Linked DNA regions of Arabidopsis thaliana. The protein of the gene in region 2 interacts with the protein of the main gene of each other region in a biochemical or structural test. Each region holds a gene or a part of one and is shown on either strand. Other genes may lie near its edges. The genes, in order: AT5G61200 and EIF3C.

What was found.
Region 1: the proteins of EIF3C (region 2) and AT5G61200 form a complex in vitro, tested with the Arabidopsis thaliana proteins (one study listed by BioGRID).

The regions. Positions count from the first base shown.
Region 1 is NC_003076.8:24,617,823-24,621,743, forward strand, and holds the start of AT5G61200 (myosin heavy chain-like protein), read left to right. Parts: upstream 1-2,321; 5' UTR 2,322-2,496; intron 2,497-2,563; exon of another isoform or gene 2,564-2,595; 5' UTR 2,596-2,633; coding exon 2,634-2,750; intron 2,751-2,846; coding exon 2,847-2,906; intron 2,907-2,992; coding exon 2,993-3,095; exon of another isoform or gene 3,096-3,174; coding exon 3,175-3,839; intron 3,840-3,921. Other genes in the region: AT5G61190 (putative endonuclease or glycosyl hydrolase with C2H2-type zinc finger domain-containing protein), read left to right, coding at 1-30, 151-449, 532-751, 831-1,157, 1,310-1,728, 1,842-2,064.
Region 2 is NC_003074.8:20,835,520-20,839,440, forward strand, and holds the start of EIF3C (eukaryotic translation initiation factor 3C), read right to left. Parts: upstream 1,757-3,921; 5' UTR 1,546-1,756; intron 1,356-1,545; exon of another isoform or gene 1,333-1,355; 5' UTR 1,302-1,332; coding exon 1,278-1,301; intron 1,190-1,277; coding exon 1-1,189. Other genes in the region: AT3G56160 (Sodium Bile acid symporter family), read right to left, coding at 2,214-2,291, 2,371-2,472, 2,548-2,668, 2,790-2,875, 3,263-3,330, 3,515-3,536, 3,856-3,921. UniProt on the Arabidopsis thaliana protein: Component of the eukaryotic translation initiation factor 3 (eIF-3) complex, which is involved in protein synthesis of a specialized repertoire of mRNAs and, together with other initiation factors, stimulates binding of mRNA and methionyl-tRNAi to the 40S ribosome.

The DNA.
Region 1 (3,921 bases), on a different chromosome or scaffold from region 2:
AAGCATGTTGTCATGGTGAATCAATCAGAGGTCAGTTTCTTAATATTGGTAATTTGGTATTTTAATTTACAATTTCCAGTGTAGCAAAACATATGCTGAATATGAGAGTCTTAACTGTGGTAAAATATATAAAGAATGAAGCTTATATAGTTGCATCAGGTACTCATCAATGCGAGTAAGCTTGAAGAGAAAGATGCCCAAGAAAAAGCTCAACCAATAGAATCAATAGCCGAACCTCAGTCGCAGTCTCAAAACACTCAAGAGCATACCAAATTCTTTGAGAAGCAAAACGAAGAGTTGAGAAAGATTTGTGGCACTTTAGAAAGCAGTGTAAAAGAACCTCTTCCAAGTACTAAGGACTGGGTGGAGACTCTTAACAAACAGATTCCAAATGGAGAATTTTTCTTTGGTGACCTAAGATCTGATTTTGAAGTACCCAGGGAAGCAAGGTAATTTTTGCTAACTTGGATTTGCTTGCTTAGTATGTCAAAGATGCAATTATCTAAATGTATTCTCCAACTTTTGTCATAGTGAATGTTTTGATGGCATTGTCAAGCCTGTAAACCTTTCCAAAGGAGAAACTAAGCATTCATGGGAGGTAAAGAAGAAGAAAATCGAGGTGACCGTACGCCATGCAAGACCAGCTGCATCTAAACTTTGTCATCTTTGCGTAGTGATTTGTGATAGCCGGGGTTTGTCAACAGTTGTTTGTGATAACAAAGCTCATTGGCCGAACCAAAAACATACTACTGTAGTGACACTTACTTCATGTTCTACCTCTTTATCCTTGATCAATATCAAACCCTTCTGACTTCTTATTTTTGATGTAGGCCGCCTTTGTAGCCAGCAATGGTTCTCAGTCCAGCGTTTCAACCAATCCTTTGAAGGAACCAGAGGGTTTGCAGCCCGTGTGGTGCCAAGTCTGCCAGATCAGCTGCAACAGCAAGGTTGCATTTGCAAGTCACACATATGGGAAAAAACACCGACAGAACTTGGAATCACAATCAGCCAAGAACGAAACTATGTCTACTGGACCAGGCAAGCTTTCTAAAGATTATGGAGAAAAAACGAAGAAAGTATCATGCAAAAACCAAACCACATTTGATTCTCAACTGAAGAGTCAGAACCATTATACCATGGCGAAGGAGCTTGTAGAGGTAAATCTTACTATTTAGGTTTTCTTTCGTGAACTTGGAATCTGCTTTTAGTAATGAATATTACAAATCTTAGTAAAAATAATATCCTTAGGTTTGATTCCTATCGAAAGTGATGAAGTATATATTAGACCTTAACTAAAATATCGATGTAGAAGGCATTTGTCTCCGCATTTGAGCATGTCTCCGCATTGGAGCAGTTCAGTATTGTTGACTCAAGGACAATCCGAGAAGACACCGACCAAGAAAAAGAAGCAACAAAGGAGCAGACACTTGTAAAGATGGATGGTAATGGGTTTCGAGGGGCACCAGAAGATAAAGTGGAATTGAACCAAGAAAAACATAGAGAAGCACTGGAGCAGTTCAGTATTGACTCAAGGATAATCCGAGAAGAAACCGATCAAGAAAAAGAAGCAACAGAGGAGCAGACACTTGTAAAGATGGATGATCTTGGGTTTCGAGGGGCACCAGAAGATAAAGTGGAACTGAAGGAGAGACACACCGTATCTGAGAACTTGGTGCACCGTGTCTTCACTGAACAGAATCGAGAGTCTAGAATACCCAATGAACCGAGGTAAGAGCCAACATTCATGGGAGTGTATAATATGGTCTCTCTCTCTCTCTCTTTCTCTTGAATCTCGATCAATATGTGTGTGTCTAACTGGTTGCTTGGATTTTGGGTTACAGAGGATGTTTAGATGTGATTCCTGAGAGAGTAAAACTGCCACCAAACGTGAATGTGGCCAAGAATTTGGAAGATGAGCAGAAGCATAAACCCGAACCAAAAGCACAGGAAGCCGAAAACAAGTCTGGAGGACGCAAGGATCTTCCTGGAGAGGCTGCCAAAAGGGAAGAGATTAAGGGCCAAGCTGATAACTTTTGGACTCGCCTTTGGGGGAAAAAATATTAAAATAATGTGAATTGTTAATTCATGTTTAAGTTGTCAACAATGGATGTTTTCTTTTGAATGGCAGATTAACGTTTTATTTTGGATTGGCTTTTGCTTATTTCTTACTGTTGTTTCTTATATATAAACTTTACCTCTTAAAAAAGATTCAAGAACAATAGAATTTAGGCATTGTAGTATATAGGTTCTCTCAATAAATTGGGAAATAACGACCGGTTTTTCCAACAGAATTTTCGGCTTAGTCTGTAATGTAATCATCAAAAATTGCATTATTTGCTTTACGACTACAGCTCAACTGGGCCACCCTGATTACTTATCCGACCCGGCCCGACCCATCCGGATCTTCCTTCTCTTGTTTAAATTAAAGCAGATAAAAAGGAAACTGGAAAATTCAGTTCAAGTATTGTCGTCGGAATATTACTCTTCACCGGCCAGGTAAAGCTTTCCTACGACTATGCTTGTGTTCGTCGGAATGTGTTTTTCTTTCTTTTTCTTATAGTCTCTGGTCGCTAATGACTCGTATTCTTGGTCCAGTTTTCAGCTCTTGTGTGTAAATTTGTTAGTCTTTTTTAATGTCGAGTAATTGGGGAAGTAGCTCGCGAGATAGCTCGGGAAGTAGTTCAAGAAGCGATGTTGACAACTCGTTTGATGCTGACGAACTTTTACAGATTGGTTCAAGATGTATGGAGGTGAATCTGTTTTTCTTTCTCTATATCCTTTGTCTCAGAGATTGATGAAGTTCATATTTTTGGCTTTATGATCTCATGTTTTCATTGTAATTGTAGCTACGGAGAGAAAAGGAGATGCTTAGAGAATCTCAGTCACAGAGTGTTGAACTTGTCAGAGTATGTTCCTCTTGTGTGTTTTAGACTAGTGAATTGATTGTTCAAACTTTTTCTGAGATTTGTTGTCTTTTTTTTTTTTACCCTAGAGGTTGGAACTGAATGCGAATTCGTTGTCAGAGTCTCGTTTAGAAGATAAGAGAAGAATTCAGATGTTGGAGAAAGAATTGTTGAATTGCTACCAGGAGATTGGTAATGGAGAGATTCTCATGAAACTGAAATCTAGGCATATATTTTATATGAGCTAAAAAACACTTTCTTTGTCTTTCAGATTATTTGCGGGATCAAGTAAACTTCAGAAGCCAGGAAATGAACGACCTGAGTGAACATGTACTCGATCTTGAAGTCAGAGTAACTAAATCAGGGAAATTGGAAGAAGAAGTTAACTATTTGAGGGAGGAGTTGTGTTCGTCGAAATCTGAGCAGCTATTGTTGTTGCAAGAACTGGAGAGCACAGAAACTGAGCTACAGTTTTCTTTGTTTTCTGTTGAGAAGCTGGAGGAGTCGGTCTCATCCTTAACATTGGAGTCTCAGTGTGAGATAGAAAGCATAAAACTTGATATAGTAGCGTTGGAGCAGGCGCTCTTTGATGCTCAGAAATTTCAAGGTGAAAGCATCCAAGAAAACGATAAGTTAAGAGAAATAGTCAAGGAGCTACGGTTGAACTCTCGAGAGGCAGAAGAGAATGCTGAGTGTTTAGAGAAGCAAAACAAGGAGCTGATGGAGAGATGTGTAGCCTCTGAAAGGAATATCAAAGACTTACGTCAAAGCTTTAGAGGAAGGTTGGAAAGTGAAAGTGAAGCGCCTGTAAATCCAGATTGTTTCCATGACATCATCAAGAAATTAGAGGTTTTCCAGGATGGGAAACTGAGAGACAAAATGGAAGATATGGCAAGACAGATACTTCAATACAAAGATCTTGTAAAGCAGCTCAAGGTATTAGTTACCAAACAAAACAGTAGAATCAAAAATTTGGTGCCTTTTTGCAGCGTCACACATATTCTAACTAGTTAAACCA
Region 2 (3,921 bases):
TCCGCTCAAAGTAGTCCTGGATGTTCTGAGCAAGGGCCAAGAACATGGGCTCATCCCTTAGCCTCTCAACATACTCACGGGTGTGAGGATCAATGCATTGCAAACTCTTGAAAAACTCAGTGTCAACCCTCTCCAAGAATGCAACCAAATTTCCCCAGACCCGAATTTTTCCATCATAATCTGTTGGCTTTGAAGTTTCGTTCTCATCAGGCTCAACTGTGTCATCCACAACAATGTTACTGTACTTGACGAGAATGTCCAGTATGGTGAGCATGTTAAGCACGCATTTCTTCCAGACATTGATAGGCATGTGCCCGCTGAGACCTGGATTCACATCAAACTGAGCCGAAATAACGCTAAACAAGATTTCAAGCTTCTGTGCAGGAGTCTTGGCAATCTTTGTCAAGTGCGTAAGCTGATCAACTAGCTCAAATCGAGCAGTGCCCTTTTTTCCACGAGCAGCCACAATTTCCTTGAACTTCTTGTTGACCCAGTCCCAAGTGATCTCTTTAGGATCTTTATTCATTAGCTTCTCCAAAAGCTTATCTTTTTTGCTCAGCATCTTCTCCCAAGTGAGATTATCAGTAGGTTCATCCACATCGGACCCAGGATCTACGGTAGGTCCGTCGATGGAAGAATCATCATCATCTTCAACCTCATCATCATCATCGTCATCATCATCATCATCTTCAGGTTGTTTCTCTTCCTCAACTTCTGGAGCCTCACGATACTTGTTGATATCGTCTTCGTACAACTTATTGTTCTTCTTCAATTTCTGTTTCATTGAGTTCAAAGCCTTGGAGTTACTAGTACTCATCTTCTTCTTGGCTTCCTTATTGGCAAGAGCTTCATTCAAGAAATCCTCCAACATAACAAGCGTCTTGATATACAAGGTAGGAGGCTTCACAGCCTCAGTAATCCTCATAACCTTCTCAAGCTGTTTGTTAACCTTATCAAAGTTTTCTTGAAGGCTGACCCAATCATTGATCTTCATAGCATTCTTCATCTGATCAACAGTGTAGGTCATCTCCTCAAAACGTTTATCCTTAGCAGGCTTAACCACACGTTTCGTATCAGTATCATCATCATCCTCACTACCACTTTGAAGGTAACGGTTATTGACGTCATCATTCTGAACCTCATTAACCTCTACCTCATAATCACTTTCATCTTCACTTTCACTTCCAACCTATCAACATAACAAGTAAAAATCATTCAGAAACTGAAGCAAGTAAAGGTAAAGAGAGTTTATAAACAAGAGGTCTGTTGAAGGAAACCTGAGTGAAAAAACGAGACGTCATCTTTTTAGCTGGAAGCGTAAGCAACAAGAACCTGATACACCAAAAGTAACAAATCTGAATAGTGAATCAGAGGAACGAAATTATAAGTAAAACAAACCAATCCATTCGAAGAACATAATCTGAACGAAACAATCGTGTCACAGATACAGACTCGTATCAACAAAGAATTAGAATCGATTCGAATCAATCTACACCAAACTAGAATCGAAAATTTGTTACGCTAGATGATGAGGAACAAAATTACCTGAATTCAGAAGATGGAGATGGAGATGGAGATTTGCGAAGGAGATGCTTGAGGAGGATTACGAATCTAAACAAAAATGGTGTGTAGCCGTCCAAGCATTTTGGTCGAGATGAAAAAATATATAGAATTAGGGTTTCGTGATTTACTCACTAAACCGGATTCGATTTGATTCTATTTCCATACCGAAACTGAAAACCGAGGACAATTAAAACGCTCTCGATCGGTTTTTATTTTATTTACAAACCGAATTGGTCGAACCAGGACTAAATGAAATTGTAGTGATGGTTAGTTCAATTAAATTGAGAAAAGAACCGGTTCTTAGTCCTCTTTCCTAGCTGCTTATCAGACAGATTACATATGAATTGCTTTGTACGCTGGTAACGTCAAATGACTAAATGTTTTCAAATATAGATACAAGTTTTTTTTTTACATAGTTTCATAAATCATACAAATTGGATCAGCAAACACCGACCGGAATCTCTAGAGCATATACATACAGAAAGAGAGAGAGAGAGAGAGATGGTCAATGATCAACTAAGCTTTGGTGATTGGAAAGATATCAAAATCCCCAGTCTTGCTGCTATGTATATAACTGACATTCAGTGTGTTTAGGATGTAACCTTCTCCACAGCATTGGTTTCATTGCTTTCTATCTCTCTCTCTCTCTCTCAAGCTGTCTTTACTTTAGTCGAAGTATCTTTTCCTCTCCGGAGCCATAAGTTGACAAGAACTGAATCAATCATGATCTGTAACATTCCAGATTTACGTCAATAATTTATAAAATTATGCACACAAGTACATGATGATTATAATACAATTTGTAACCTGGTTCAGGTGTGCAGCTACACAAGGAAGAACCAATAGCCCTGTCTCACCAAATGCACCTCCTAATTGCTCTACTACCGCCACCATTACCGGTAATGTTTTCTATGCCACCACAAGAAAAGAACTCCCAAATTTAAGAGATCAAAATCGGTTCTAAAAGGCAAACTCTATTATTACCTGGCTTGAAACGAGCAAAACTGCAGTGCTGTTTTCCTTGGAGCTCTTGCTACCACCTGTAAGACCGGAGAGGATGCGGATTGAAACAGCATTGAATGCTAGTAGAGAAAGATGCAGCAATCTGTAAGAAGACGTAAGAATCTTCTGTCAAACGTAATCCGCATTTCTAACACACAAGCCAAATATTTCCATGAGCTTCTTCACTTGGTATCTTTTCTATATGTTAAAAGAAGAATGCGTACATTCCAATGCCAACTGCTGCAAGGAAAACCTTAGGTTGAACGGATAGTAGCAGTGATCTTGACCTGCTCACTTGGATCCATGGCACCTAGAATATTAATCATGGAATAAACACTATTAAGTTCCCAAAATAACCAGGTAAATGCAATAACAAAGTCAGACCAGTTGAAGTAGCCAGGGAAGCAGAGGTTAAACTATAAAAAGGAAAAAAGTATTAAGTCCTTCTATCTCCAAAGTCATAACCGTGACTGCAAATATGGTTTTTGCAATTTAGTAAAAGCTTTGGATTGGCACATCAATGCCACGGAATGTTGAAATCCCAAGCTATCATACAAGAAAAGAGAAAGTTTTAAGTACAGGCATCTAAAATGCCAAGTTTAAGATTCCTGCAACAAAGCAAAACTCCAAGGATATGACTTCAGAAAGTTATTCAAGGGGTGTAGAAATTACGGGAGACTAACATTTCATATCTTACCAAACTGAGGCAGATTGCGTTGATTTTCGAAAAGAGTTTACGGTTATTGTCAACAAAGTTTGCGAAACCTGTATCACACATTTCAACAAGAGTTTCAACAAGGTCAGAAAGTAGGCAGCGATAAGCATATATATTTATTATAAACAGAACCATTTTGATCCATTGTCACGATAAAGTGACTGCTAACTATTTAAAATGGTATGTATTCAATTACTTTCACCAGAGAAGTAAAATATAACAAATGGCGCTCACCTTTGAATGATTCTCGAATAACCTATAACAGAAGAAACCAAGTATGTCAAAGCTCGATTTTAAAAACGTGTGCAAAATGGCAAGTGATAGAACTTCATGCTGAAATGACTGTTTGTGAAAGGTTCATATAAACATCAGGGAAAGTAACAAATAATAGAGAGTAAGCTTTCTTCATTTTCAAATGAGCCACGCAACAACCCTATTATAATTTCCAATAAAGTATTCACATATCTTTTGGCAACAACCACCTCTGCAAATTTAGCTTTCACAATTGTACCGTATATCAGAATTTATATTGATTCATCATTGCAAGAACAGGACAAACAGAAAGATTGTCTCACCTTGCCAATGATTAAAGGAATTAACAGAGTAACTATAAGACTTCTGAATAGTTGGTCAGTAGGAAA